Linked DNA regions of Struthio camelus. Each later gene encodes a partner of the first gene's protein in a complex. Links are inferred from orthologs where the notes say so. Each region holds a gene or a part of one and is shown in the gene's direction. Other genes may lie near its edges. The genes, in order: WRAP53, GAR1, NHP2 and TERT.

Region 1 (7,643 bases):
ATGGGGCAGGTGCTGGAGCGGGTGCAGGCGTGTGCGGGCGTGTGCGTGCGTGTGCAGGCGTGTGCGTGCGTGTGCACACGCATGTGCCGGCCCTGACGCGCGGGGGGGCCCGGGGGGGCAGGTGCTCTTCACGGACGCCACCTTCGCCATGGGGCAGGTGCAGGCGTGTGCATGCGTGTGCGTGCGTGTGCGTGCGTGTGCGTGCGTGTGCAGGCGTGTGCGTGCGTGTGCGTGCGTGTGCACACGCGTGTGCCGCCCTGACGCGGGGGGGCCCGGGGGGGCAGGTGCTCTTCACGGACGCCACCTTCGCCATGGGGCAGGTGCAGGCGTGTGCATGTCTGTGCATGCGTGTGTGTGCGTGTGCGGGCGTGTGCGAGCGTGTGCACACGCGTGTGCCGCCCTGACGCGGGGGGGCCCGGGGGGGCAGGTGCTCTTCACGGACGCCACCTTCGCCATGGGGCAGGTGCTGGAGCGGGTGCAGGCGTGTGCATGCGTGTGCGTGCGTGTGCGTGCGCGTGCGTGCGTGTGCGTGCGTGTGCGTGCGTGTGCACACGCGTGTGCCGCCCTGACGCGGGGGGGCCCGGGGGGGCAGGTGCTGTTCACGGACGCCACCTTCGCCATGGGGCAGGTGCTGGAGCGGGGCGGCCGCCCGGGGCCCCCCCAGGCGCTGCTCCGCTGCGTGCGCAGCATGGCCGCCCCCCCCCGCGCCCAGGCCTCCTGCTACACCGCCGGTACCCCCCCGGCGCGGGGGGCACTGGGGGGCACTGGGGGGGACTGGGAGGGACTGGGAGCACTGGGGGGGCTGGGGGGGACTGGGGGGGACTGGGAGCACTGGGGGGGCTGGGGGGGACTGGGAGCACTGGGGGGCAATGGGGGGGATGGGGGCACTGGGGGGCACTGGGGGGGATGGGGGCACTGGGGGGCACTGGGGGGGCTGGGGGCGATGGTGGGGCTGGGGGGGATGGGGGGATGGGGGGATGGGGGGCACTGGGGGGACTGGGAGCACTGGGGGGGTTGGGGGGGTTGGGGGGGCTGGGGGGACTGGGGGCACTGGGGAAACTGGGGGGAACTGGGGGGGACTGGGGGGGCGCTGGGAGCACTGGGAGCACTGGGGGGGCTGGGGGGGGTTGGGGGCACTGGGGGGACTGGGGGCACTGGGGAAACTGGGGGGAACTGGGGGGGACTGGGGGGGCGCTGGGAGCACTGGGAGCACTGGGGGGACTGGGGGGGCTGGGGGGGCTGGAGGGCACTGGGGGCACTGGGGGGGCTGGGGGCACTGGGAGCACTGGGAGCACTGGGGGGCACTGGGGAGGGGGCAGAGATCACCCCTAACCATGTGTCCCCCCCCCCGTCCTATGTCTCCCCCGTGTCCCTGTGGCGTGTGCATGGCGTGCGCATGGCGTGTGCATGGCGTGCGCGTGGTGTGCATGTGGCATGGCGTGGCGTGTGCATGGCGTGCGCGTGGCGTGCATGTGGCGTGCGCGTGGCGTGTGCATGGCGTGCGCGTGGCGTGTGCATGGCATGTGCGTGGCGTGTGCATGGCGTGTGCATGGCGTGTGCGTGGCGTGTGCATGGCGTGTGCGTGGTGTGCGCGTGGCGTGTGCGTGGCGTGTGCGTGGCGTGCGCGTGGCGTGTGCGTGGTGTGCGCGTGGCGTGTGCGTGGCGTGTGCGTGGCGTGTGCATGGCGTGTGCATGGCGTGTGCGTGGCGTGCGCGTGGCATGCACGTGGCGTGCGCGTGGCGTGTGCATGGCGTGTGCGTGGCGTGTGCGTGGCGTGCGCGTGGCGTGTGCATGGCGTGGCGTGGCGTGCGCGTGGCGTGCACGTGGCGTGCGCGTGGCGTGTGCGTGGCGTGTGCGTGGCGTGTGCGTGGCGTGCACGTGGTGTGTGCATGGCGTGCGCGTGGCGTGTGCATGGCGTGCGCGTGGCGTGTGCGTGGCGTGTGCGTGGCGTGCGCGTGGCGTGTGCATGGCGTGTGCGTGGCGTGTGCGTGGCGTGCGAATGGCGTGTGTGTGGCGTGTGCATGGCGTGCGCGTGGCGTGTGCATGGCGTGTGCGTGGCGTGTGCGTGGCGTGTGCGTGGCGTGTGCATGGCGTGCGCGTGGCGTGTGCGTGGCGTGCGCGTGGCGTGTGCGTGGCGTGTGCGTGGCGTGCGAATGGCGTGTGCATGGCGTGTGTGTGGCGTGTGCGTGGCGTGTGCGTGGCGTGCAAATGGCGTGTGCGTGGCGTGTGCGTGGCGTGTGCGTGGCGTGCGCGTGGCGTGTGCATGGCGTGTGCGTGGCGTGTGCATGGCGTGTGCGTGGTGTGTGCGTGGCGTGGCGTGGCGTGCGCGTGGCGTGCGCGTGGCGTGTGCGTGGTGTGTGCGTGGCGTGCGCGTGGTGTGTGCGTGGCGTGTGCGTGGCGTGCGCGTGGTGTGCGCGTGGCGTGCGCGTGGTGTGTGCGTGGCGTGCACGTGGTGTGCGCGTGGCGTGCGCGTGGCGTGTGCATGGCGTGTGCGTGGCGTGCGCGTGGCGTGTGCGTGGCGTGTGCGTGGTGTGCGCGTGGCGTGCGCGTGGCGTGTGCATGGCGTGTGCGTGGCGTGCGCGTGGCGTGTGCGTGGCGTGCACGTGGTGTGCGCGTGGCGTGCGCGTGGCGTGTGCATGGCGTGTGCGTGGCGTGCGCGTGGCGTGTGCATGGCGTGTGCGTGGCGTGCGCGTGGTGTGTGCGTGGCATGTGCGTGGCGTGCGCGTGGCGTGTGCGTGGCGTGTGCGTGGCGTGTGCGTGGCGTGTGCGTGGCGTGCGCGTGGCGTGTGCATGGCGTGCGCGTGGCGTGCGCATGGCGTGCGCGTGGCGTGTGCGTGGCGTGGCGTGTGCGTGGCGTGTTGCAGGCGTGTTCCGGCTGCGCAGCGGCGACCGCCTGCGCCTGCGGGTGCCGCGGGCCAACGCCTCCTTCGACCTCAGCGCCCACGGCACCTTCCTGGGCATCGTCCGCCTCTAGCGCCGGCGGCCCGGGGCCCCGGCGTCCGGGCAGCACAGGGGCCCCGGCGTCCGGGCAGCACAGGGGCCCCGGCGTCCAGCCACGAGGGGCCCCGGCGTCCGGGCAGCACAGGGCCCCGGCGTCCGGGCAGCACAGGGGCCCCGGCGTCCAGCCACGAGGGGCCCCGGCGTCCGGGCAGCACAGGGCCCCGGCGTCCGGCCACGAGGGGCCCCGGCGTCCGGGCAGCACAGGGGCCCCGGCGTCCGGCCACGAGGGGCCCCGGCGTCCGGGGAATGAGGGGTCCCGGCATCCGGGCATGAGGGGCCCCGGCGTCCGGGCAGCACAGGGGCCCCGGCGTCCGGGCAGCATAGGGCCCCGGCGTCCGGCCACGAGGGGCCCCGGCGTCCGGGCAGCACAGGGGCCCCGGCGTCCGGCCACGACGGGCCCCGGCGTCCGGGCAGCACAGGGGCCCCGGCGTCCGGCCACGACGGGCCCCGGCGTCCGGGCAGCACAGGGGCCCCGGCGTCCGGCCACGACGGGCCCCGGCGTCCGGGCAGCACAGGGGCCCCGGCGTCCGGGCAGCACAAGGGCCCCAGCGTCCGGCCACGAGGGGCCCCGGCGTCCGGGCAGCACAGGGGCCCCGGCGTCCGGGGAATGAGGGGTCCCAGCGTCCGGGCATGAGGGGCCCCGGCGTCCGGGCAGCAACGAGGGGCCCTGGCGTCCGGGCACCATGGCGACCCCCCATCACTGCTCCACCATCTTCCCCCACCCGGACGCCTGGGCCCCCCATTGCCTGTGTGTGGGGGTTGGGGGGGGTGTCGCTCCCCGGACGCCTGGGCCCCCCGGACACCTGGGCCCCCCTGTTGTCTGTGGGGGTGGGTGGGGGGGGAGTCGCTCCCCGGACGCCTGGGCCCCCCGAACGCCTGGGCCCCCCTGTTGTCTGTGGGGGGGGGTCGCTCCCTGGACGCCTGGGCCCCCCGGACGCCTGGGCCCCCCTGTTGTCTGTAGGGGGGGGTCGCTCCCTGGACGCCTGGGCCCCCCGGACGCCTGGGCCCCCCTGTTGTCTGTGGGGGGGGGATCGCTCCCCGGACGCCTGGGCCCCCCGGACGCCTGGGCCCCCCGTTGTCTGTGTGGGTGGGTGGGGGGGGGCGTCACTCCCCGGACGCCTGGGCCCCCCCATTGTCTGTGTGTATTGGTGGGGGGGGGGTCGCTCCCCGGACGCCTGGGCCCCCCGGACACCTGGGCCCCTCCGTTGTCTGTGTGGGTGGGTGGGGGGGGTCACTCCCCGGACGCCTGAGCCCCCCGGACGCCTGGGCCCCCCTGTTGTCTGTGTGGGTGGGTGGGGGGGGGGTCGCTCCCCGGACGCCTGGGCCCCCCTGTTGTCTGTGTGGGTGGGTGGGGGGGGGGTCGCTCCCCGGACGCCTGGGCCCCCCTGTTGTCTGTGTGGGTGGGTGGGGGGGGCGTCACTCCCCGGACGCCTGGGCCCCCCCCAACCCCGCACCAAGCTGCAGCCAAGCAACGAAACCTCGCGAGACTTCGCCGAAACTCTCGCGAGCGCCGGCGCGTGACGTCATCGAGCCGCGCGGCGGGGCGAGGGGGGGAGGGGGCGCGACGTCTCGCGAGATTCTCAGCCAATAAACGCGCCCGAGGCCGCTCCGCTCTCGCGAGATTCGCGCGCGGTGCCTGCCGGGAGGGGCGGGGCCTCGGCTGTCATGGCGGCCCCCATGGAGGAAGGTGTGTGTGGGGGGGGATTCCGGACTCCTGGGCCCCTGGTGGGGGGGAGGGGGGTCCCGGACGCCTGGGCCCTCGGTGGGGGGGAGGGGGGTCCCGGACGCCTGGGCCCCCGGTGGAGGGGGGGGGTCCCGGACGCCTGGGCCCCCTGGGGAGGGTGTGAGGGGGTCCCGGACGCCTGGGCCCCCGGTGGAGGCGGGGGGTCCCGGACGCCTGGGCCCTCGGTGGAGGGGGGGGGGTCCCGGACGCCTGGGCCCTCGGTGGGGGAGAGGGGGGGTTCCCGGACGCCTGGGCCCGTAGCCATACTGACCCCCCCCCCCGCAGCCTCCGACAACCCCCCCGCCGAGGGGGGGGGCCCCGCGGAGCCCCAGGAGCCCGAGGAGGAGCTGTGAGTGCCCCGGACGCCTGGGCCCCCTGGGGGGGGTGTGAGGGGGTCCCGGACACCTGGGCCCCCTGTGTGTGTGGGGGGGGGGTCCCGGACGCCTGGGCCCCCTGGGGGTGTGTGTGTGGGTGGGGTCCCGGACGCCTGGGCCCCCTGGGGGTGTGGGGGGGGGGGTCCCGGACGCCTGGGCCCCCTGAGGGTGTGTGTGGGGGGGGTCCCGGACGCCTGGGCCCCCTGGGGGTGTGTGTGTGGGTGGGGTCCCGGACGCCTGGGCCCCCTGAGGGTGTGTGTGGGGGGGGGGGTCCCGGACGCCTGGGCCCCCTGAGGGTGTGTGTGTGGGGGGGGTCCCGGACGCCTGGGCCCCCTGAGGGTGTGTGGGGGGGGGGGTCCCGGACGCCTGGGCCCCCTGAGGGTGTGTGTGGGGGGGGTCCCGGACGCCTGGGCCCCCTGGGGGTGTGTGTGTGGGTGGGGTCCCGGACGCCTGGGCCCCCTGAGGGTGTGTGTGTGGGGGGGTCCCGGACGCCTGGGCCCCCTGGGGGTGCGTGTGGGGGGGGGTCCCGGACGCCTGGGCCCCCTGGGGGTGCGTGTGGGGGGGGGGTCCCGGACGCCTGGGCCCCCGGGGAGGGTTGAGGGGGGTCCCGGACACCTGGCCCCTCGGTGTAGGGGGGGGTCCCGGACGCCTGGGCCCCCTGAGGTTGTGTGTGTGTGGGGGGGGTCCCGGACGCCTGGGCCCCCTGAGGGTGTGTGTGTGGGGTCCCGGACGCCTGGGCCCCCGGGGATGGTTGAGGGGGGTCCCGGACACCTGGGCCCTCGGTGTTGGGGGGGTCCCGGACGCCTGGGCCCCGCAGGCCGCCCCCCGCGGAGCTGCAGCGCCCGCCGCGGCTGGTGGCGGAGGCGCGGCAGGAGTACGGCCGCCGGCCCGAGAACTTCCTCAAGGGCTGCAAGTGGTGAGCCGGACGCCTGGGCCCCTCGTGGGGGCGGGGGGGGGCGCGGCCGGGGACGCCTGGGCCCCTCGTGGGGGCTGGAGGGGTTCCCCGAGCCCGCCCGGACGCCTGGGCCCCTGGGGGGTGTGGGGGGGCTGGAGAGAGCCCTCCCGGACGCCTGGGCCCCTGGGGGGTGTGGGGGGGCTGGAGAGAGCCCTCCCGGACGCCTGGGCCCCTGGGGGGTGTGGGGGGGCTGGAGGGAGCCCTCCCGGACACCTGGGCCCCTGGGGGGTGTGGGGGGGGCTGGAGAGGTTCCCCGAGCCCGCCCGGACGCCTGGGCCCCTGGGGGGGGGTGGAGGGGTGCCGCGAGCCCGCCCGGACGCCTGGGCCCCTGGGGGGTGTGGGGGGGGCTGGAGGGGTGCCGCGAGCCCGCCCGGACGCCTGGGCCCCTGGGGGGTGTGGGGGGGGGCTGGAGGGGTGCCGCGAGCCCGCCCGGACGCCTGGGCCCCTGGGGGTTGTGGGGGGGGGCTGGAGGGGTGCTGCGAGCCCGCCCGGACGCCTGGGCCCCTGGGGGTTGTGGGGGGGAGCTGGAGGGGTGCCGCGAGCCCGCCCGGACGCCTGGGCCCCGCAGGGCCCCCGACGGCTCCTGCCTGCTGACGTGCAGCAACGACAACACCCTGCGCATCTACGACCTGCCGCCCGCCCTGGGGGGGGGCCCGGGGGGGGCCCTGCCCGAACTGGTACCCGTCCGGGGGGGGTCCGGGGGGTCTTTGTGGGTCCTTGGGGGGGACTCTGGGGGGTCCTGGGGGCAACGGGGGGGGCCCAGGGGGTATTTAGGGGTGTTTGGGGGGGTCCCAAGGATGTGGGGGGGGTCCCAGGGGTGTTGGGGGGGTATTTTGGGGTATTTGGGGGGGTCTGGGGTGTTGGGGGGGGTCCCAGGGGTGTTGGGGGGGTCTCTGGGGTGTTTGGGGGGGTCCCAGGAGGTATTTGGGGGTCTGGGGCGTTGGGGGGGGGTCCCAAGGCGTTTGGGGGGAGTCCAAGGGGGTATTTGGGGGGTATTTGGGGGATGTTTGGGGGGTCCTGGGGGTGTTTGGGGGTGTTTGGGGTGTGTTTGGGGGGTCCTGGGGGTATTTGGGGGTCTCTGGGGTATTTGGGGGATGTTTGGGGGGTCCTGGGGGTGTCTGGGGGGGTCACAGGGGTGTTGGGGGGGGTCTCTGGGGTGTTTGGGGGGTGTTTGGGGGGGGTCCTGGGGGTATTTGGGCGTCTCTGGGGTATTTGGGGGATGTTTGGGGGGTCCCGGGGGTGTCTGGGGAGGGTCACAGGGGTGTTGGGGGGTCTCTGGGGTGTTTGGGGGGTGTTTTGGGGTCCCGGGGGTTGTTTGGGGGGGTCCCGTGGGCCTCTGGGGGGTCCCTGGGGGCCGTGGGGGGGGGGGGGGCCGGGCGAGGGACCCAGGCGTCCGGGCGCAGGTGCCGGCGCTGCGGGTGCCGGAGGGCGACACCGTCTACGACTACTGCTGGCTGCCGGGGATGAGCTCGGCCCGGCCCCCCTCCTGCCTGTGAGCACTGGGGGCACTGGGAGCACTGGGGGAGCCCACTGGTGGTTACTGGGAGCCCTGGGGGGGCACTGGAAGCACTGGTGGGGGTGGCGTGGGGAG
Region 2 (7,406 bases), on another chromosome or scaffold:
GGTCTGACAATTGGAGATAAGAAATGAAATACCAGTACAGAGAACAAACCCAAAATAATTCAGACATCGTATGATTTCAGTTAGAGAAGTCACAGAGGGAACGGATGACAGAAGTACAGGATCAAATGTTTGTCAGCCTCACAGAGGGCATTTTAAATAAAAAGGTTCTGTTAGGCACACTGACTACAGCTATGGAACTTGCTTCTAGTTTCCAACAGAAGGAAAGCAAAGATAATATATTCACCAAGTTGTACCACTAGACAAATATAAATCAACCTGTTTGAAGAAACAAATATATCGTATCTACGCATACAGCACCAAAATGTTTTATTTGAAAAATAAACACTTAAGATTAATTTTTAAAATAACATAATATTGCAACTACATTTCAGCATTTTGTCAAATCAAAAGTATATCCTTAGGTTGCAAACTGTTCATTTCAGTGGTCAAGCCTTAAAAGGATCAACATGTTTGATCTGAAAAGTGCTGCAGAAGTGAGTTTGATATATGATCAGGTAGAACTATAGTGCAGGTGTATGCTCTTTTTAAGGGCCTGTTCTGGTGTTTTTTCACACAGAAGAGCATACATCAGAGAGAAATGAAGTCAGTTTATCCCCGTGAGATTCTACCAAACGCATGAAAGTACAGGATATTTAAGATGCCATATTAAACTCACACAAAACAGTCTTTCTTGTTGGAGCCATCAGATGCATCAACTCTAGTAACCTAAAATTTGACCTACATTAAAAGAATATCTGAGAATTCAATACGGCTCTTCTGCACCTCTGATTTCCCTATTATGCAGTTCTTTAAAGGTTTTTTTAAAGTTTTTTTTAAAGTAAAAAAGATACTAGTGTCTTACAATAGCACACCCTGAGCTTACAGACACATGCCAAAGGAAACAAATTTCAGTTTCCAAGCCCATGGGGTTTGCGGGGGGGAAGAGAAGGAAGGCTTGATTTTTTGTTTTAAACTTTAAGAAGAGTATCGTAGTGGCTTTCAAACCAGTATATTCGTATCAGTGTTTAATATATTACCTTCGGAAAAGTCTAAAGCTTTGTTACTGAACACTGGCCTCATTCCAGTTGAGTCTTTTACTTTATTCCATACCATGAGCTCTCTTATCTTCCTTTAGAGATCTGTTTTATCCTCATACTGACACATGCATGCAGCTCTCTGGCTGTCCAGGTAGGGTTTACATCCTAAATGTATAACTGCATCAAACAACAGCTGAACTGTTGATTCACAAGCTGCAAGAAAAGAGGAGTTTAGTTAGGAATACTCTTTAAATGGAATATGAGACTAATAGAAATGACTCTAGCAAACTGAAAGAGATTTTAAGAAAGAAACGATCCTCTCTGGTCATAGCAAGGAGACCATCAAACAAAAGACTGAACCAGTGCAGAATCATTTATTTTGTGACTAATGATGTTTCATATTCCAACCAAAATAAAATAAGCAAGCAAATTCATTGCAAGTGGATTGTTATCAGTGTTAGAAACATCGCTTAATCTTGGGAAGATGAAAGAGCTGCTTTACCCCTCACTTCTTGCAACTCAATTTATGACAAGCTTGCTATCTTTAACAGCAGCTCAACAGAACTGAACAAATATTCACTGCTTCCGACACAAACCACTAACAATATGACTTCTTGGCAGTCACGTGCATTTGAGAGGTGCCAACACAGGTTTGTTCTAAAAACTGACCGTTCAATGGAACTACTTACTGTAAGAGTGCCATTGTCCAAGTTTAAAAAGCAAGGTTATATAATGTACTGATCAAGATGCGGGCCGACAATCAGAAGGAACATGCTATGGGCTAAAATTTATGCGCTGAAGGACAGCATTAAGTGCTTGCACTCTAACCATATAGTATTCTAAGATCGTTACTTCATAGAAGGAAACAATTCAATATTTTTCTGCAGTTTACTAGCAATCACATGTAGTATACATTTAGAATTCATCCAGTAGAACAAAAATACTTGACTATAACACAGAAAATACAACAATTATTACACACACATTTGTATGAAGTCCTATTCCTGTCTTCATATACCCAGAAGGGGAGCATTAATTTTTTCCTCAGGGTTAGTTTTAATCCTGATCCCTTTCTTACATTGTATCATTGCTCGGCTATACAAATGCTGCATGAGAGAGGGAGAGAACAAGGCTAGGATTGCCTCTCTCAGCAACAGCATCAGCTTATGAAAACGTGGCATTACTGTATAGCACAAAGGCTCCTTGCCAGTCAAACTTCGGAAGAAAAACATGTTTTTCAGACTTACCTTGTACACTTTCCGATATTCCAAGTGTTTTCTGTACATCTCTGCAGATTTTGGAGAGGCAGGACTGAAACTGCTCATCACAATCATTTTTTTTATTGCCACAAGTATCGTAGCATCTGTCATGCTGATTGCAGCACTTCGTCATCGAAGGGATACCAATGTCAAACTGCAAAGAAAATCCCCCACCACCATTGGTATTCCAGCTAGGAAAAATACAGTCTACGAATACTACAAATATGAAAGTTAGAAATTAAAAACTAATAATACAATCAATTCAGCTGTCATTCATTTATCTCTATGATTTGCTGTTCACCTCTAACAAGTTAATCAATATTTTCTCTCTAGTATTAAGGAAAATGGATTAGTGTCAGCAGGGAGAATAAAAGTCAGTCAAACCCTCCACTTGCACAAACCGAGGGCTACTGTTAGGGTTACCCAATGCTTTTGAAAATATTCAGGAAAATAAAACATTTTTACCATAAGATTAGAAATTAATCAACGCTCTGTTTTATCCCTATAATATTTTAGGTCACTGATGAAAATATTTCTGCTACATTTGTTTATCATCTTAACATTCTCCATGTGACATTACCAAAGCATGTGCTGGAGCTAACAGAAGTGGGAACACTGCACGTGGATGCTGTCCTCATCTTCAGGATGAGGGAGGAAAAGAACTCCTGCACTGAGGAAAGTCGATGTATGAAAGACCACATACAGGAAAAAAAAAAAAAAACCCAAAGAACAAATAGGCTTACCTGAACTCCAAACAGAGGAGATCCACAACCATTTGGTGGTGAGGGTTTATATCCATAGCGGGCAAAGGGCTTTGATCCTGAAAAAGGGAATTTATAATTCCTCAAATAGATTTATTTGCGCAGAAGCTTAGTCCTGTCAAACTGAGGTGTTTGGTGGGCTTATGACAGTATCCGCCGTATTTTTGAACTAAACCTATGTTCAGGCATCTGAATATCAGCAGTTCTCACCAAGTAACAAGTTCAAAAGAAGAGCCCGAGTTAATAAGATTGATATACCAGTTAAGCGCGTGATATGCAGGAAATCATTAAAGAACAGGCAAGTTCTCTGAAGTATTAATGAACCTACCATCGAGTTCTCTACGCTGTGTATGCCATCAACAATACTACTGTGATTTTTCTTCACTTTAAGCTTTGGAAACTAGAATGAAGCCTAGAATTGTTGTTTTTTTTTATTTGTACAAGCGTACGTAGAATATGCTACAATAAAATTTAAATGAGGAGATACTGCCAAAGTCATGCCTCCCTGAACACGCAGTAGCACAGAAAGACTTCACATCTCAGGTCACGGAAAACCGTGGAGTCAGTTTAAGAAAACGACCCTTCACCTTATGTTGGTCCTGGGCACAAACCGAGGCCACGAGTAAAAGTAAGAGAGAAGGGAAAACAGGTGTGAGAACTGCCTGTTCCCGTGGAGGCAGGAAAAGGGCTAGCGCGTCGCGGCCGAGCCTTCCGCAGCCAGGCGGACGCCACCCTGAAACGCCCCGCCAGCCGCGGAAACAGCGCCGCGCAGAGCCAAGCGCAAGCCCGGCGGCTCTGCCCCGCCGCCGCCGCCGCCGCGAGCCCCTTCCGCAGCATCCCGCGCCGGGCGGCCGCCGCAGGGCAACGGTCGCCGCGGGGTTGGGGCTGCCGGCCGCGCCCAGCCGGCGCCCCGCCTCACCGTCGCCGCACTTGTACTGGCAGAGGCCGTCCTCGCCGCCCAGCAGGTCGAGGGCCGCGTTGAGGTACACGTCGATCTTGTGCACGCCGTTGCGGATGGTCTTCAGGGTCATGCGCCAGTCGGGCGTCTGCGGCGGCTCCTGGCCCCGCGCCGCCGGCGGCCGCGGGCTCAGCCAGGCGCAGGCCAGCAGCAGCAGCAGCAGCAGCAGCAGGGCACGGGCCATGCCCCACGCCCCACGTCCCACGTCCCACGGCGAGCGGCGCCCGCCGGGCGCTCGCTAGGCCCCCGCCGCCGCCCGCCCGCTCCCGCAGCGCCGCGCCGCCCCGGCCCGGCTCGCCGCCGCCGCCGCCATCCCGCCCCGCGCCCACCCGCCGGGGCCGGCCTTCCGCCGCCCCGCCTTGCCCCGCCCTCCAACGGCCCTAACGGCTCCAACGGACCCTGACAGGGCGAGGCGCACCCACCCGCGGCTGCCCCGGCTGGGTGGGTTTGGGTAAAGGCCAGGGGGTTTTTTTTGTTGTTTTTTTTTGTTTTTTTTTGTTTTTTCGGGCCACGGCCTCGCTTCTGAAACGTGTGGGCGTTGCCAGTGAGGTACGAAGCGCCTCCTGGTTTTCCATTTTGAGAAATCCTGCCCGCCCTCTCCCCTCCCCCGCCGCAGGTGCTGAGGCGGCCCGTCACCGGCCGGGCGGGAGGGCTGGAGCCTGCTGGAGGCGTTTCCCGGTTCCTCCTCTGGAGGAAAGGACAGTCGTGTTTTAAAGTAAGTCTGCAGCGCAGGTAGAAACCCCTGGTGAGGGCGCGAGCGTGTCTGTGCGTTGTGCCTGGCGCGCCTCGCTGCTCGACTTGGGGGGTCTGTGGCGGGTAGTCCTCCCTCAAGGAGCCATTTAAGCAGAGCAGAAACACCCTTCTCTGTGTTCCTACTGACAGTCCCGTATTTCGAGAGAGGACTACAGAGAGGGTTAGAGAGATGAAAATCATAATGATTTCCTCAAGAGGAAAAAAGTGATAACAACTGCGGAGCCCGTCCTCTCTGTAGCGAAAACAATTGGTAGGATGGCAAGATGGGACGTTGCAAAATGTGCCTTAGCACCTAGCCAGTTGCAACACAGGTCGTTTCCACTGGAGAAAGGCTCTAGCAGGTCACAGTGCCCGTTCCAGGAGAGCTTGTTCAAAACCAGGTATGCAACAGGAGCGCTGTTGGCTGCCAATAGCACAGGACATGGTGGCGCTGGCTGAGCAGGGCCTGCTCAGGTTACCAATACTATTGCAGCGTACAAAACCTCAGGACACTTATTTCAGAAAACCTTGGTGACTGTGTTAGAAAGGGCAATCCTGGCATTGCTAAACGTGAAAGACACAGCAATAGTTTTTGGAAAAAAAAAAAAAAGCTTATTTTGGGAGGGGGGGGAAAAACATCTGAAAAAAGCTGATTTTCTAGCCTGCCATTCCGAGGTTGTGCCATTGGTTTGAATGGGAGGACGAGCAGGTTTGTTCCGGCCCTATCAAGGCTTCCTAAGCCTGGTTGCTCTGAACAAACACTGTCCCCTGTGAGCAGTGTGCTCAAAGCCACATTCCCTTTTCCTTCTGTACAGTCAGGGAAATAACTTTGTGTTAATAAGCGCTAGAAAAACATTACTTTTAGGAAAACGTACTCATTTAGAGATACATGTGCAACAAAGACTATGTATTTTGAATGTTCTAAAATTTTAAATAATTTTATGATGCTGTGAAGTGTGAAAGTGATCCTGTGACCTTTTATACATAGGAGTGATTCATTTTCAGGGAACACCAGCAGATGCGCAAGTTGGTGTTGTAAAAGAGGGCAAAATTGAAATCTATCTATTAAACATTAAAAATCCAGCTGTCTTTTGCTGAAGAAAAATCAGGCCAAAATGAACTCGTTTGCAAAACATTCTAGATATTTTTTATATGTATTAATTTTATATTTAAATTCCAGATGTTTCTTAGATGAGCTAAAGTGGAACCATGTAGGAATTGTTTTAATTTTTGTGAAGAAAGCATTATTTTAAGATGTATGAAATCCCTCAGAGCATAGTAATACTGGGTTTTCAGGGCAAACTGTAAAGAAGAGCAGGAAATGCAAAGAAAACTGAATGACTCCCAGACCAAGAGGCAGGGCAGAAAGACACGTGACAAATATTCTGTTGATTTTTCTTTTCAGCCTCAGCACTTAATATTATTTACAGCTACTGAAGAAATAGATGGAAAAAGTTTTTGGCAGAAGTTAATTAAATCAAACAAAAGAGGGAGCTCTTCATACGCTTGTCCTGCAAAACTAGCTTTCCCCTACTATTACTCTACAAAGACCCTGATTCAGGAAAGTAGTTCTTTTGCAGGAATATGTTTAAATATTTTTCTAAATAGGGACCGTTGTCGGCAGGATAAGGGAAGCGGTTCATACCCTTACTTTCATTACTGATAATTGGAAGGGTCCGTACAGTGGAAGAAGTAAAAAATAAATCAATGAAAATGTAACAGTGCAGTCCAGAGCAGACAGTGGTGAATTATTAAAAAAAAAAAAAATCATATTGTGTGAACATGTATCATTTAACAGGATAATTAATTGAGAGGAATAAATTAAATTATATATTAAAAACATTTATAAATTAGTATCAAGTGAAGTATATTATAAAATTACCTAGCAGTTTCATGGAACTGACTGAGATAGTTCTGAAGTCATTTGCCAGTTTTGTGTTGAGATTACCAGTCCAAAAATTCTGGCACTTCTAAAAGCACAGGTGTATGTATACACTAGCCTGTCTTCTAGCTGACTCAGGGCCTGTTGCATAATTCCTTGTATGCATTAGTCTTGCCAGATGTGAGCCTGTTTCTACAGAGATTGACATTTTCTTATACTGGGCACTAGCACTTTTGTTTAAAAATATGCAGATTATGCAGTGGTCCTTTGGGCCCTGCTCCAGTACAGGCTTCCTGACAGTGATGTGGGCAGAACTTAACAATCTTTAACATAAGGGTCGGTGAAAGCAGAAGGACTTTCTGCTTCATGCTTCCTTTTTGTTGGTGGTCCCTTGTGTTTGTCCGGTTCTGTATCAGTTCGAGCAGTGGCAAAACTCCCCCTAGCTTTACTGTGCAGGGTCAGGCCCTTGTAAGGATGGTATTCTTTCTTAGCACTACTGTTTCATGGTTTTGCATATTGGTGTAAGAAGCTCTTGCTAATCTGAGAATCTGTTGTTTTATGACTGACAGTGTTCCTTTTTAACCTAAAATCTGTAACTTGTTTTTGTAGAATTTTAATTAGGTACTTAAGTATCATCTATATACTTTATTTTTATATATTTATATTTATTTGATATATATTTATAGATACACTTATATGCCATAAAACCCTACTTGCGTTTGTTGAAGTACCAGAACTATATAGGCACAGAGAACTTTATAGTAAAGACACTTATTA
Region 3 (6,982 bases), on another chromosome or scaffold:
TCTGGACTCCAAAAAAATCCTCTCTTCCTGCATCTTTCACCCTGTACTGGTAAATCACTGCGTCAACAGCACCAGTTTCTTTGCTGGCTGAATCTGTTCTCTATCATGGTCAGTGTGGGAGTCTGTGAGGAAACAACCCTGTTGGGTTCTAGAGGTTCCTTTTGTCTGTGTCTCAAGGCAGTCTTACCTCTTCATCCATAACTCTCTGCAGACAAGAAGACTGACACAACACTGGGGACCAGTCAGCACCACAGTCCTTTGAACTAGCTAGAGGTGGTTATGATCTGAGAGATCAGACCCAGGTGTTACTAAAGTCCTGGGCAGCATGATGAAGATGTGAATAGCTTAGGTCAAACATCATCCTCCAGAATAGGACAGAAAGTGCCAGCTCCTATCCGAGGCTGGCTACAGTTAGGGAATGTACAGCAGGCTGGCTTCTAGATAAAGGATTCCAGGGGATGGGCTGCCATTTCAGCTGTCTCTCATTTTTCCTCTCTGTTCCTCAGGACGAGGCTCAAGAGGCATCTGGGGAACAAGCTGCAGGCGAGCTGTGTCCGCAAGAGAAGAGCAATCAGCCCCTGCATCAAGATGATAGAGAGAGCACTTCTGCAGCCTCCCCCCTGGGGTCCACAACTCCTGCCTCCACACAGCTGTAAGTAGTTCAGTCTGCCCTCTTGCAGGGGCAGCAGAGCAGAGCTGTTTCCTTGGGCCTACATGAGAGCAAGTATATGGCATAAGTCACCTTGAGAAAGGTGAGATATCCAAGGAGAACAGGAGGGAAGAGGTAACTTGTGCTATCTCTGTGGGACTGCTAGTGTTTTGGGGTGAGAGAAACTGGTAGCCCCCTTTAGGCAGATGTATGCATGTCACATGTAGGCTCTGCCACTGGGCTTACCTGGGCTGACTTTTGAAGGAAAAAGGTGGTTTCTTGGGATGAGAAACCAAATGAAAAACCCGACAGCTTGATCCTGCTCTTTAGAGCTGTTCAGCCTGGCTATTGTTTCTATCTATTGGCCTCCGTCTTCCTGTGTCTTGGGTAGTAAGTCCTGAATTCTGATGCAACATGCTTCCACCATCTCACCCCATGATGCTTTATGTAGCTACACCAAAGGATCGGTGAGCTTTGTCCAAGGGGATGCGTTGGGCCCTAGCAAAGGAAATGTCCCGTCATTTGTCTTGAGCGTGATGACCTGACAGTATATTCCCTCTGCAGGGTGCAGCTGAGCTGGGATAACCCCCTGCAACGTTTGCTCTTCAAGAGGACTCTTCTGTCCATCTGGAAGATGATAGCCAGTCACAGGTGTGTGGGGATGAGGGGTTGGGCTTGGCCTGGCTCCTGTGCATGCTGTCCTGAGTTCCAACCCCCCTGTCACTAGGCCCTCTCCTCCCCTTTAGGATTGCCATTGCAGGCTGGCCTCTCTCCCCCTGTCGTTGCAGCAGGGACAGCTGTGTGCTGCAAGGCTGGAGAGAAGACTCTGCATATTTACTTCCTCTGGTTAACGTGGCAGCTGCTGTGCATTCAGGAGCCCAGTTGCTGCTTCCTGCTGCAGCCAGGTTCAGCAAGAGGTTCAGCCTCCTCCTGTGCCTGGCTGTGCCAGCCACTGAAGTTTTGAGTGTTGCTAATAGGCTCATGGCTAGCAGGGAGAGGCAAGCATAGGTCCATGTCGCAATGTTGCCTTCAGCCCTCCGCTTGGAGACATACAGAGGTCATTTGTTGTGCTTGCCCCTGTAGATACAGTGGCCCGTTCCTGAAGGCAGTGTCAGACAAACAAGCCCCTGGCTACAAGGATGTGGTGAAGAGGTGAGTTTGTGGAATAAGTCTTCTCTAGCTGATTTCTGTCACTATTGCAGCTCTGCCCCTGCCTGAGTAGGAGACTTGCCTCTGCAGCCCGACACTCTCTTACTCCCCATGTAGCTGGGAAAAGGTGCCTCAGTCAAAGCCCTCTTTTGCCCATTGCTCTCTGCCCAGATGTTTTACTTTCAGTGGAGAAGTGGATTGTAAGAATATTTCCCAGATAGATTAAGGGTATTTTTCAGAGCTGAATCATATTCTATTCTGGTCACAGTTGTCCTCTCTGCAGCCATTCATTTTCTTTTTCTGTCAAAATAAGAGAAGTCATATTTATTCTCCATCATGTTCCACTTGCCAGCACTGCTATTTTTGGTAGTGGCACCATTCGATTTTAGGGGGTTTTAATAGATACCTATTTTAGTATCTTCCTTTTCTTTCTCCACTAAGACCTGGGCTCACTTCACAAAGACTAATTACTAGACTCGCTCTGCTTGCATTCTCTGGAGCTCAACATCAAACTTTTTTCAGATGTAATTGCTAGTGGCTTGCGAAGTTGATTGGATGGCAAGTGTCGCATTGGCTAAACTTATTTTTGTCTGACTTAGAAGACAAACATTTCTCACTCTCCCCCTCTGTCATGAGCAATAAAATTGATTGAATATAGCTGCGCGCTGAAAAAAAAATAAGCAAGTTCATTTAGAGCCTGAAGAATGCCTGGCTCTGGCTTGTTTTTTGTAGACCCATGGATTTAACCAGCATAAAGAGAAACTTGTCGAAGGGCCACATTCAAACCAGTGCCCAGTTCCAGCGTGACCTCATGCTCATGTTCCAGAACGCAGTGATGTACAACAGCGTGACCCACCACGTACACCGCATGGCTGTGGAAATGCAGCAAGAGGTCTTGGAGCAGCTGCAAATGCTGGGTGAAGCCCTCCTGTGCTCTGGGGACAGGCTGGGCTGGGGGAGAAGGTAACAAACCACGTCTGAGGCCTGTTTCTTTCGGAGCAGCGTTGTCTCCCTAGCTCTGTCCCTGGCTGAGATCGGCTGGTGGCAGAGCAGCCTTTGGCAGACCTAGTTACCCCTTTGTGGTGCTTGACAGGTTGATGGGATAAAGAACAAAGCAGTTGCTAGGAGGTGAGCTGGAAGAGAAACCTTCGTCCTTGGTGGGAAAAGCAGCACATCCCTGCAATGAGTAAAAAGGGGGAAAATAATCTTCATTATCAGCTGAGGTGAATCTGGGCCCACCCCTATCAAAATGTCTCACTGATACAACTTTGGTGCTGCAGAAGAGCTCTGCTATTTAGGTGCCTTCACTGTACGTTTACAGCACTGCTGTGTTCAAGTTCGGGTGTAGATTTAGCGTTGAACATTCCTGTTCTGCCTCAACTGGGGGAGGACTGGTCACAGACCTGTGACATCCCTGCCCTTCATCATCCCAGCGTCTGGGAGGCCGCGGTTGTTTGCCAGTAAAGGCAGATGTTGTAAAGTAAACTTTGCTCCAGCCTGTGTTTGACCCCCGTGCTGTGCATGGTGGGGAGAGGGACCCCCACACCCCAGCTCTAGGGGAGGGCGGACAGGGGCGCCCCTGGTAGAGGAGCCCCGGCTGCAGGGCGGACGCCGGGGAGACGCGGGCTGGGGGATCCCTAGGGCAAGGGATGCCGGGCCACGGGGGGGACCCCGGGGAGAGGCGGGCAGGGGGATCCCCAGGGCAAGGGATGCCGGGCTGCAGGGGGGACCCTGGGGAGAGGCGGGCGGGGGGATCCCCAGGGCAAGGGATGGCGGGCCGGGGGGGGGACCCCGGGGAGAGGTGGGCGGGGAGATCCCCAGGGCAAGGGATGCCGGGCTGCAGGGGGGACCCTGGGGAGAGGCGGGCGGGGGGATCCCCAGGGCAAGGGATGGCGGGCCGGGGGGGGGACCCCGGGGAGAGGTGGGCGGGGAGATCCCCAGGGCAAGGGATGGCGGGCTGCAGGGGGGACCCCGGGGAGAGGCGGGCGGGGGGATCCCCAGGGCAAGGGATGGCGGGCAAGGGATGGCGGGCAGCGGGGGGGAACCCGGGGTGGGGGGGCCGGCCGGCCGGCGGCGGAACCCCGGGGAGCCCCGGCTGCGCGGCCCCGCCCGGGAGGGCTTCCCCGGGGATTCCCGCAGAACGCGCCCCGGCTGGGCGGGAGAGGAGCCCGCTCGCCATTGGCCGGCGGGCTGGGGGGGGCGGGCCGGGCAGGGGCGCCGGCGATTGGCGGGCTGGGGGGGGCCGGAGGCGGGTCCCGCTGGTGGCGGCCCCGGAAGGGGAAGCGGCGGCGCGTGCGGCGCGGCCATGGCGCGCGAGAAGCAGGCCGAGGCGGCGGCGGAGGCGGAGGGCGGCCCGGAGCGCTCGTACCGGGAGCAGCTGGGCAACCTGAACCCCATCGCGCAGCCGCTCGCCTCCCGCAAACTGACGCGCAAGCTCTACAAGTGCATCAAGAAAGGTGGGGCCGGGGCCCCGGGGGAGGGGGTGATGGAGGGTGTCGGGGGCCTGGCCGGGGGGTGATGGAGGGTGTCGAGATCGGGGTGGGGTGATGGAGGGTGTCGGGGCCGAGCAGGGCCCCTGGGGGAGGGGGTGATGGAGGGTGTCGGGGCCGAGCAGGGGCCCTGGGGGAGGGGGTGATGGAGGGTGTCGGGGCCGAGCAGGGCCCCTGGGGGAGGGGGTGATGGAGGGTGTCGGGGCCGAGCAGGGGCCCCTGGGGGTCCGGGAGGGTGATGGAGGGTGTCGGGGCCGAGCAGGGGCCCCTGGGGGTCCGGGAGGGTGATGGAGGGTGTCGGGGCCGAGCAGGGCCCCTGGGGGAGGGGGTGATGGAGGGTGTCGGGGCCGAGCAGGGGCCCTGGGGGAGGGGGTGATGGAGGGTGTCGGGGCCGAGCAGGGGCCCCTGGGGGTCCGGGAGGGTGATGGAGGGTGTCGGGGCGAGGCCGGGGCCCTGGGGGGGTCGGGGGGATGATGGAGGGTGTTGGGGGCCGGGCCGGGGTCCCGGGAGGGGGTTGATAGAGGATGTCGGGGGGGGGGATGGTGGAGGGTGTCGGGAGCCTGGTCGGGGGCTGGGGGGTGGTGATGGAGGGTGTCGGGGCCGAGCAGGGCCCCTGGGGGAGGGGGTGATGGAGGGTGCCGGGGGGAGGTGGTGGAGGGTGTCGGGAGCCCGGCTGGGGGCTGGGGGGTGGTGATGGAGGGTGCCGGGGGGAGGTGGTGGAGGGTGTCGGGAGCCCGGCTGGGGCCCCGGGAGGTCCGGGAGGGTGATGGAGGGTGCCAGGGGCCCGGCTGTGGCCTGATGGGGGGGAGGCGAGGCCGGGGCAGTGCGGCACAGCCGCAGTCACAGTCGTGCCTGTCTTGCAGCGGCCAAGCACAAGCAGATCCGTCGGGGCGTGAAGGAGGTGCAGAAGTTCATCAACAAGGGCGAGAAGGGGTAAGCGCTCCACCGGCCCCGCCGCCCCCGGCGCAGCCCGGCGCGGCGGCGGCTGACGCGGGCTCTCCCATGCAGGATCACAGTGCTGGCTGGCGACACGCTGCCCATCGAGGTGTACTGCCACATCCCCATCATGTGCGAGGACAGGAGCCTCCCCTACGCGTACGTCCCCTCCAAATCGGTAAGGGGATGAGGTTGTGGAGCAGGGGGCACCCGAGTCCTGGGGCAGCAAACTGGCAGGCTGCAGCCCCAACCATGCTGCGACAGGCAGCCGTACGTGGGCAGGCACAAATATGGCTTTTGGGTAAAGGAGGCCCTTGGTGACACTCCAGCACCAGCACTCGTCTGTTCTCGGGGCAAGAGAGGAACGGAGGGTCACAGCTCAGATTTAGGATGGTTTTATTGTGGAACTGCAGAATCTTTTCCCCTTGTAGAGAAGCTCTGGCGGCAGCACTGGTGCTGGACTGCACCAGGGCAGAGCCTGGAGGGGGTTTCCCCACTTGCTTCTGAGCTGGTGACCTGAAGGCTTCAGGAATGAGGCAGTAGCTAAGTTGTTGTGTTTATTAGACATCCTTTTTTTTTTTTTTTTAGAGTAGGCATTAGGAGAGTTGATGCCTTTGGGGTTTTACCCACTACCACCTATACAGGCTTCAAACCTGTACAGGCCTTCAGACTTTTTCAAACTCTGGCTTCCTGCTCACCTCACGGACAGCACAGATGCGTAAGGCCAGGTGCCCAGGCATTTCTGGCAAACAGCAGCCCTTCATCCTGCCCCCGGGAGCTACAGACAAGCTGGGGGAGGCTTCTCACAGCAAGCACAAGTGAAGGGGGTTTGGACCTGAGAAGCTGGGAGAACCTCTGGCCCCGTGTTGGACAGGGGGTAAAGGCAGGACAGCGGGACATGCGGGGTGGGCCGGTGCCCTGCAGCATCGCCCACAGCCTCTGTCCCCGCAGGACCTGGGAGCTGCCGCCGGCTCGAAGCGCCCGACCTGCGTCATCATGATCAAGCCGCACGAGGAGTACCAGGAGGCCTACGACGAGTGCCTGGAGGAGGTGGAGGCCCTTCCCCTCCCGCTGTGAGGGACAGCCAGGACTGGCAGCGCCCGTGGGCGCGCGGGGCAGCCGTGCCGGGCTCTGGGGGGCTCCTCGCGGGGCCGGGCCCCAGCGCGGGGTTTGTAACCACGCGGCCGAGCGGGCGGCGTGGGGAGTGCTGGGGCGGGGGGCAAATAAAGGCATCTGAGGGGTTTGTAGTAGGTGGGTCGGTGTGCTTTGTTTGGCGGGGGAGGGCAGTGAAGAGCCTCGTAGGGAGCAAGTGTGGGGCCGCGACCCCCGGGAGGGGCCGCGACCCCCGGGAGGGGCCGCGACCCCCGGGAGGGGCCGCGACCCCCGGGAGGGGCCGCGACCCCCGGGAGGGGCCGCGACCCCCGGGAGGGGCCGCGACCCCCGGGAGGGGCCGGGACGGGGGCAGCGCTGCCGCCGCCGCCCCGCCAGGGGGCGCTGAGCGCTTGGGGGGGGGGCGGGAGAAACCATTTCCTGGACGGGGGGGGAGGGGGGGGCGCCTATGTAGGCGTCGCTAGCGGGAGCCATTCTGGGGGGCTGGATTAAACCATTCTCAAGGAGGGGGTATGAGCTAGCTCCTAGGGGAGGGCGGGGGCTAGGATTAGACCATTGTGCGAGGGGGGGGGGAGCATGAGCTTTTTTCCCCTAGTGGAGGGGGCCTGGCTGGGTTATACCATTCTGGAGTTGGGGGGGGGCTGGCCAG
Region 4 (7,237 bases), on another chromosome or scaffold:
CATTAAGGGACCGGAGCATCTGACATATGAGGAGATGCTGAGGAAGCTGGGATTGTTCAGCCTTGATAAGGAAATGCTCAGGGAGACCTTGTCAAAAATGTATAAATGCCTGATGTAAAGAAGACAGATCCTAATTCTTCTCAGTGGTGTCCAGTGACAGGACAAGATGCAGTGGGCACAAATTAAAATGCAGGAAATTCCAACTAAACATAAAAATATTTTTCACTCTGAGGGTGGTCAAACACTGGAACAAGTTGCCTACAGAGGTTGTGGAGCCTCCATTCTTGGAGATATTCAAAACTCAACTGGATGAGGTCCTGAGCAACTGGCTCTAGTCGACCCTGCTTTGAGCAGGGGGGTTGGATTAGAGATCTCCAGAGGCTCTTTCCAGTGTCAGCTACAGAACAGCTGTTTCTGTTATTCTATTCTTTTCTTTATTCAGCCTCCTAAAAATCAACTTATCCCCTTTTCTATGACACTTCATTCCCCCTCTCCCTCCTGGATTCTCTCCCCAGCCTAGTGGTAGGCACACAGAAAAACAGGGTAGTGCCTATGAAAAGAAACAGGAATAAAGAGATCCCCTTAGCCTGGCCACAGCAGTCCTCTTCTCTCCTCACACCCTTGATGTGGTTGTTGCCAAGAAGGCATCAGCAAGACGCACCGGTAAGGACCTACTTTGGAACCTACCACCAGCTGGCAGAAAGGGTCCAGGAAAACGACAACTAAAAGCCCTCCTCAGAAATTCGGCCTACAGCAGCACCTGCAACCCAACTATCTGCCATGAGCATATCACCAGCTTTGGGGACATGGATGTACCACCCCCAGAGCACACAGTCAAGTAGTTACAACCTCACCTGCAACCAGCACGTCCTCAGCTTTGGGTTCATCCTCCACTATCACCAAAATCCCATTACTTCCTTGTGCATTGGTGCTAGGGTTGCACCCTCTAAGAAAGTCCCACTGGTGGAAAGACCTAGACCACTGTCCACCTCTTCAACAAGACCTACAGATCAACACCTCACAGACGGTCTCCCTCACCATCATGCCCTTGGTTTCTCCAGTATCATCCCCCTGGCTGCTGGGGAGGAATCTTTTGGTGCAGTCAGGGGTCTGGTTGCTGTTTTCAAGATTTATGACTCCTTGTCCTTGCCACCGGCCCTTGATCTGGGGATACACTCAACACCCCTTCCTGTTCCTCCTCCTCTCTTCCTGAGCATGTTCCTCAGAGGAAATGGTGACTCGCTTATCTGCCACATGCCCGCCTGCATTAGACATCATCCTTGGGTTGTACCTTGAGGGTATCATCACCTCTGGAGTATCTGGGGGTGGGGGAGAGGGGAGTACATACCCACCAGAGGTCAGATCATGGATATCAACTATACTCCTGCCTGAGTGCAGCTACTGATACAGCCATGGCCAACTTCTGTCCCCTTGCCCAAGTCTGCAGTGTCTGTGCAACCTCTCCATTACAGCATTGCTGAGGTCCTTTGAAGCCTTCTAGTATTATCACTCTCCCTCCTTTGGGGGTACCCATCTGGTGCCTATCTGCATCAGGGATGCATGGCAGTCCGTGGCATGCAGGCAGTGCTGAACAAGGAGTGACACAGAAATGCCTCAATCTAAAGGCTATAAAGGTGCTAAGAAGGAGTGGACACCTCAGCCAGGATGATGAACAGGGAAGAGCTGCTTTGCTGCCTGTAAGAGATTTAATGCTTTAGAAAGAAGGTACAGCCAGTCCTCGAAGAGCAGGGGGATGCTGACCTCACTCTGAGGTCTTTGCGGTCCTCACTGAAGGAGAGGAAGGTACACTGTCCTGTCTCAGCAGGGCCACAGTTTCTACACCCCTATCCCTGCCATTGGTGAGAACTATTTGCTGTGTAGCACCACCCGTATCAGGGGCAGCACTGTCCCTGGCCACAGGGCCACTAACTTCACCTAATGAAACACCTAATGAAACAACCTTCTCCACACTGGGAGCTGCCAGGTGAGTCCTCATAAGGGCCAGGTACTCTTCAGTCTTTGGGAAGGGGAGAACACTATCATGTTGCTGCAGGAGATTTCACAGCAATCCAGCCAGGAAGCCTAACTAGAAGACAGTCACCTCACGTCACTAATGTATCTGGTAGACTGCTGACTCTGTCCTGCCTAGACCTTTGCTCAAAGGGGCTGATTTGGGATTTGCTGAACTTGTGCCACGTGGCCTGCTACCCATCTCTGTCCATGTGGAGGGAGCAGTTGTTAATATTAACACCTACAGCCCACTGGGCCAAGAGCATAGCTTTAACAGCAGACGTGTCTTGGCAGTCAGAGTCCCAGAGTCTCTTTTGCATGGCAGGGATCGGTATGACAGAGTAGCTGGAGCAGGAGAGTCGGAGGTGAAAAGGATCTTGGCATTCTATCCCTTTGCAGCACGTTTTGAGAGAAGCGTGATGAACTCCAGCTCCTGGAAGACCGCTGGGCTCAGGGCACCTTTGGTCACATATCCAACTGCTTCAGGAGATGGATTGTGGCATGCAGCATTTAACCTTCCTCACCAAGTTATCCCTCTTCCCCTTTCCAGCCTACCTTCTCATGGCTCATATAGAAGCTGTTCCATACTTTTGGTCCCTGAGCCCTTTCTAACTCTAGTACATCTTTTCTGAGAAGTAGAGGCCAGAATCGCACAACCGCACTCAAGCTGTCGCAAACCATGGATTTATGCAATGGCATAATGATGTCCTCTTGCTGTTCTTTATTCCTTCCCCAATCATTCCTAATACTTGACTTGTTTTACTGGCTGCTGCTGCGCATAAAGCTGATTTTTTCATGGAACTGTTATAACCTCAGGGTCTCAATCCTGAGTGGTACTAATCACCCCAGAGCCCATAATTTTATATATGAAACTAAGAATGTATTTCACCTCTATGCCACACTTGACATTTATCAGCATTAAATTTCAACTGCCATGTAATTGCTCAATCATTCAGTCTTATAATGTTCTTCTGCAAGTTTATACTCTGCTTGTGTCCTTGCTGCTTTGGATAACTTCATCCAATCAGCAAATTTTGCCATTTACTGATTACTTACAATACTTCTGAGTCATTTATGAAAGTTATACAGTGCAAACTAATGTGGATCTCTGGTGGTGGCCTTCCTTATTGAAAGAACTGACCATTTATTTCTACCTTTGTTTCTTATCCATATCAGCACATTCCTTCTTTCATTTTTCTATTCATAACATTTCCTTACAAAGGCTTTTGGAAATTCAAGCAGACTATATCAACTATATTATCATAATCTTCATGTCTTCTCAAGCATCCATAGAACCCCAGGAGGTTTTTAAGGCAGAACTTCTTTTTGCAGAAGCCATGTTGACTGAGCAGCTTGTATTTCTCCCAGCATCTAGTAATTTTATGTTCTGTTATTATTTCTACTAATTTACCCCAAAAAACCATCAGGTTTACAGGCCTGTAGTTCCCCAGAACCCCATTCAAACCCTTTTTAAAAGTCTGGCATCAAATTTGCCAGCATGCAGTCTTCAGGTATCAAGGAAATGTTTGAGTAAGAACAACACTACTTACTAGTGATTTGGCTGCTTCATTCCTGAATTTGATAAGACTCCCAGGACCAGCAAGTTGGTTATGTGTTAGGATTTACTCTGCTCATCTGCACCATAACCTCTTCTACAGTTACTTAATTTCAGATAGATCGTCTACTGTGTCCCCATCCTAAAAGGGATTCTGTGATGGGAATCTTCCTCATTTCTTCCATGGGAAACTTACCTTAGTAAACCAGCAAGACTCTCTCAAAACTTTCTTCAGCACCTCTCGTGACAGTATTTCAGGCTATCCCAGGCAACCTGGAAACGCACAGCACGAATTAGCCAGATGCTACAAAGCTGTCCGAAAATAAAAGCCTAAATGCCTGGTCAAAAGTCATGCCACGAGTTTGAGGTAACTGGTGCTAGTGCTCCACCTCACAATGCACCTTTAACCATAGGCCCTTGCTTCCTGCTTTCTGCACCAACTTCTGCTACTTTGGAAACTGCACGAGTCTTTAAGGACTCTCGGTCTCACAAGGGGGAAAATGAGTGCGATAACACGAGTTTATGGCCCAGAAGGAGAGCAACCATGGCGTGAAAGCATCCCCCCATCCCGCGGGCTTGCGCCTTCCGCGCACTCGGCCCTCCTCGTGGCTCACTCTCAGCCCCAGGAGGTGCCTTGGCCCCCTCACCCCAGCCCGCCTTCCTCGGGTCACTAGACGGCGCTGGAGGAGGTGAGGAGCTGCGGGGCTGGACAGCGGCCTCCCGCCCGGCCCGGCCCGGCCCGCCGCCCATCACCTCTGCGCAGCCTCGGAGGCCGCGCGGGGGGCCTGCGGCACCTGGCCGCAGCAGCTGCGGGGTGTTTGTGCGAGCGCGGTTTTTTTTTTTTTTGCTTTTTGGGTTGGTTTTTTTTTTAGCAATAAGGTTTTTTTTTTTTTTAAAGAAGCAACAGCCCCTCACAGCTTCCTGCAGTGCTTCAGCCAGCGGCTGAAGCGTAAGCGCGACGGGGGAGGAGGTGAGGGAGGAAGGCGCGGGGCCGCCTCAGGTGGCGGCGTGCTCCATCGCCACAACATGGCGGGCGCGGGGCCGTTCGCGGCGGCGCTGGCCGCCCTGCGGGGCTGCTACGCCGAGACCGCCCCGCTGGAGACCTTCATCCAGCGGCTGCGGGACAGCGGCGCCGGCGAGGCCGAGGTGCTGCGGGCCGACGACGCCCCGTGCTACCGGACCTTCGTGGCGCAGTGCGTGGTGTGCGTCCCCCGCGGAGCCCGCTCCATCCCGCGGCCCTTCACCTTCCAGCAGGTAGGAGGGCGCGGGGAGGGGGGGTGGGAGGGGGAGGCAGCCGTTGCCCGCTTGCGCAGCGGCACCTGCGTTGCAGCCCTCCCCACCGAGCAGAAGCCGCCCGCCCGCCCGCGCGGGCAGCCTCGCCCGCACCAACGGTCAGCGCCGGCCGTTGGTGGCCGTTGCCCCCCGTCGCTGCCTGCCGCCTCGCTGGCGTGCGGCCGCGGGAGAGGGCTCCTGGGGCTGCCGCCCTCCGCGGTGCCGCGGCTCGTCATGCTTTTCCTGTCCTCCATGCGTGTGTGTGCGCAGCGGGCGGCCACGCTTGTCTCCTCGTGGCTCTGCCTCCTGGCTGCGCCTGCTCGCTTGGTCGTCTCCTTTGGTCCCCTTGCTCTTCTTCGCCTCAGAATGAAGTTTGGTTTATGGAAGTTAAATTTTTCTCTAGCCTGCGTGGGGCTTATCCCCCTTTCCCCTCCCTCTAGGGGGTGAACGGGCAAAATCTTAGTGTCTGCTGGCCCGTGGTTAGATAAGCCGAAAGATTTGTGTGTCTGGGACTCCCTGACTTTGTGCTTGGTCTGTGGGGAAGCATTTAACACCCCTTCCCCCTCCAAAATGTCTGGGGAGCAATTAGAAATGAAAAAACACCATTTTACCTCTGTTAGAGGATAGAGAAGAAGAGAGAAAGAATTATTTTCCAATCCTTTTTTAAGCAGAAAAAACTCTTCCAAGAGGAATAAGACGAGTTTCTCTTGGAGCTATTGTGCGCCTGAGCAAAGTTGTGCTACTGCACAAAACGAATGTTGCAAGCTTATGGAGTATTTTTTAAAAACGTGAGCTGAAATACTCACTAGAAGTTGTTTATTTTACATTAGCACTTGGAGGTCCCCAGAAAGGCAGTGTTAGATCCCTGCTGTGGTATGGTCTGCGCATGTGCGTAGCGTGGGGCAGAGTGACCTGAAAGCCTTGGAGTCTGGACTGCTGAGAAAGATGAGAGGAGTAGCATAGGGTGTTCCCTTGGCATGAAAACCAGGATCAAAGGAGCAGAAGTTAAAAAGACTTCCCTAAAGTCATAGTCTCTGGTTGATGATTTTATTTTTTTAATCCTGTGATATGTTTGAAAATCTTTTTTCTAATAGGGCACTGTTGCCTCATTAATATTGCTTTGAAAAGCTTTAATCTAAAGCTCAAGGCTAGAACTCTGTATGTTGCATGTCTGTTCATTTAAAGGGTATGTTGTGGCGTTTGGAAGAGTCCATAAAAAGTAATTCTCCTTTTTTCTTTCTTTCTTCAGTTATCTAGTCAGAGTGAAGTCATCACAAGAGTTATTCAGAGGCTATGTGAAAAAAGAAAGAAGAATATCCTTGCGTATGGATATTCCTTACTGGATGAAAACAGTTCTCACTTCCGAATCATGCCGTCTTCAAATATATGCAGCTACCTACCCAATACCGCAACAGAAACTCTTCGTATCAGTGGCCTATGGGAAACATTACTGAGCAGGATAGGGGATGATGTGATGATGTATTTATTAGAACACTGTGCAATCTTTATGCTGGTTCCCCCTAGTAGTTGCTATCAAGTTTGTGGGCAACCCATTTATGAACTTATTTCAAATAATGTAGAATCGTCTCCAGTGTTTGTTAAACAAAGATATTCAAAGCATAGACGTAATATCTTGTTTGACTATATGCAAAAGAGGCTTATGTTTCATAAAGAGTATCTTTCAAAATCTCACTGGTGGAAATGTAAACGAAGACTTGCAGTTCAAGTCTCCAGCAAGGGAAATCAAAAAAATAACAAAATACAAAGCTTAGGATCCAGTTTGGCATATTCGTCTAAAGATGATTTTAAAGCAAGCAAACAGATCAGAATGGTAACTGAACATCTGGAAAATCAGATTAGCCCAGGTTTATCTTCATCAGCTACAGCCCTGTCCTTGAAAAGGAAGCTTGATAGGGAACAACTTAAAATTACAGCTAAGAGAGCAAAAGTAGAGGAGGAAACACCAGAGAAAGAGGCTTGGAATCACAGTCCTGGCATAAACCAAAGTAGTTCCACGAGGTATGGAACTGAGTACATCGCATCACATTCTGTAAATCTTACTGAAGAAAAGTACGCTGCTAGAGGAAGTGACAGTGATATGCCTGGCCCTTCTTTACTTCGCAAATCTTATGATGGGAAGGAGAAAGCTGTCGCAGATGAGAGTGCGTTTCTGCAAGGAGTTCAAAGTAACAGACCTGTTAAGTCCAACATGGAAATGCAAGCAGAATCAAATAGAAAGGGCATAGAGATGCATATGTATAAATCTCAGGTGGATTCTGTACAAATGAAACCAAGGGAAGGTATTTCTTCAAAATACAGAAGGCTGGAAAGTCCCGTAGATCTTTTGGGAAAGAAATTGCCAAATACAATCTTGCGTTCTGGAGTATACATTGAGAGGAA

Evidence for each region.
Region 2: WRAP53 (region 1) and GAR1 share a complex: the UniProt entries of both Homo sapiens proteins name them as parts of the telomerase holoenzyme complex. The link is inferred for Struthio camelus from reciprocal best matches to the Homo sapiens genes WRAP53 and GAR1.
Region 3: WRAP53 (region 1) and NHP2 share a complex: the UniProt entries of both Homo sapiens proteins name them as parts of the telomerase holoenzyme complex. The link is inferred for Struthio camelus from reciprocal best matches to the Homo sapiens genes WRAP53 and NHP2.
Region 4: WRAP53 (region 1) and TERT share a complex: the UniProt entries of both Homo sapiens proteins name them as parts of the telomerase holoenzyme complex. The link is inferred for Struthio camelus from reciprocal best matches to the Homo sapiens genes WRAP53 and TERT.

What each region holds. Positions count from the first base shown.
Region 1 is NW_027182724.1:72,235-79,877, reverse strand, and holds the start of WRAP53 (telomerase Cajal body protein 1), read left to right. Parts: upstream 1-4,630; 5' UTR 4,631-4,665; coding exon 4,666-4,687; intron 4,688-5,008; coding exon 5,009-5,072; intron 5,073-5,914; coding exon 5,915-6,013; intron 6,014-6,620; coding exon 6,621-6,729; intron 6,730-7,455; coding exon 7,456-7,544; intron 7,545-7,643. Other genes in the region: uncharacterized protein, read left to right, coding at 593-731, 2,865-2,974. UniProt on the Homo sapiens protein: RNA chaperone that plays a key role in telomere maintenance and RNA localization to Cajal bodies. Specifically recognizes and binds the Cajal body box (CAB box) present in both small Cajal body RNAs (scaRNAs) and telomerase RNA template component (TERC).
Region 2 is NC_090945.1:24,424,728-24,432,133, reverse strand, and holds the start of GAR1 (H/ACA ribonucleoprotein complex subunit 1), read left to right. Parts: upstream 1-4,403; 5' UTR 4,404-4,730; intron 4,731-7,406. Other genes in the region: PLA2G12A (group XIIA secretory phospholipase A2), read right to left, coding at 1,132-1,250, 2,285-2,450, 3,040-3,116, 3,977-4,199. UniProt on the Homo sapiens protein: Required for ribosome biogenesis and telomere maintenance. Part of the H/ACA small nucleolar ribonucleoprotein (H/ACA snoRNP) complex, which catalyzes pseudouridylation of rRNA.
Region 3 is NC_090954.1:9,665,317-9,672,298, forward strand, and holds NHP2 (H/ACA ribonucleoprotein complex subunit 2), read left to right. Parts: upstream 1-4,053; 5' UTR 4,054-4,103; coding exon 4,104-4,254; intron 4,255-5,150; coding exon 5,151-5,220; intron 5,221-5,295; coding exon 5,296-5,401; intron 5,402-6,174; coding exon 6,175-6,300; 3' UTR 6,301-6,470; downstream 6,471-6,982. Other genes in the region: BRD8 (bromodomain-containing protein 8), read left to right, coding at 507-652, 1,214-1,300, 1,733-1,801, 2,531-2,761, 2,892-2,904. UniProt on the Homo sapiens protein: Required for ribosome biogenesis and telomere maintenance. Part of the H/ACA small nucleolar ribonucleoprotein (H/ACA snoRNP) complex, which catalyzes pseudouridylation of rRNA.
Region 4 is NC_090943.1:71,164,737-71,171,973, reverse strand, and holds the start of TERT (telomerase reverse transcriptase), read left to right. Parts: upstream 1-4,234; 5' UTR 4,235-4,591; coding exon 4,592-4,819; intron 4,820-6,086; coding exon 6,087-7,237. UniProt on the Homo sapiens protein: Telomerase is a ribonucleoprotein enzyme essential for the replication of chromosome termini in most eukaryotes. Active in progenitor and cancer cells. Inactive, or very low activity, in normal somatic cells.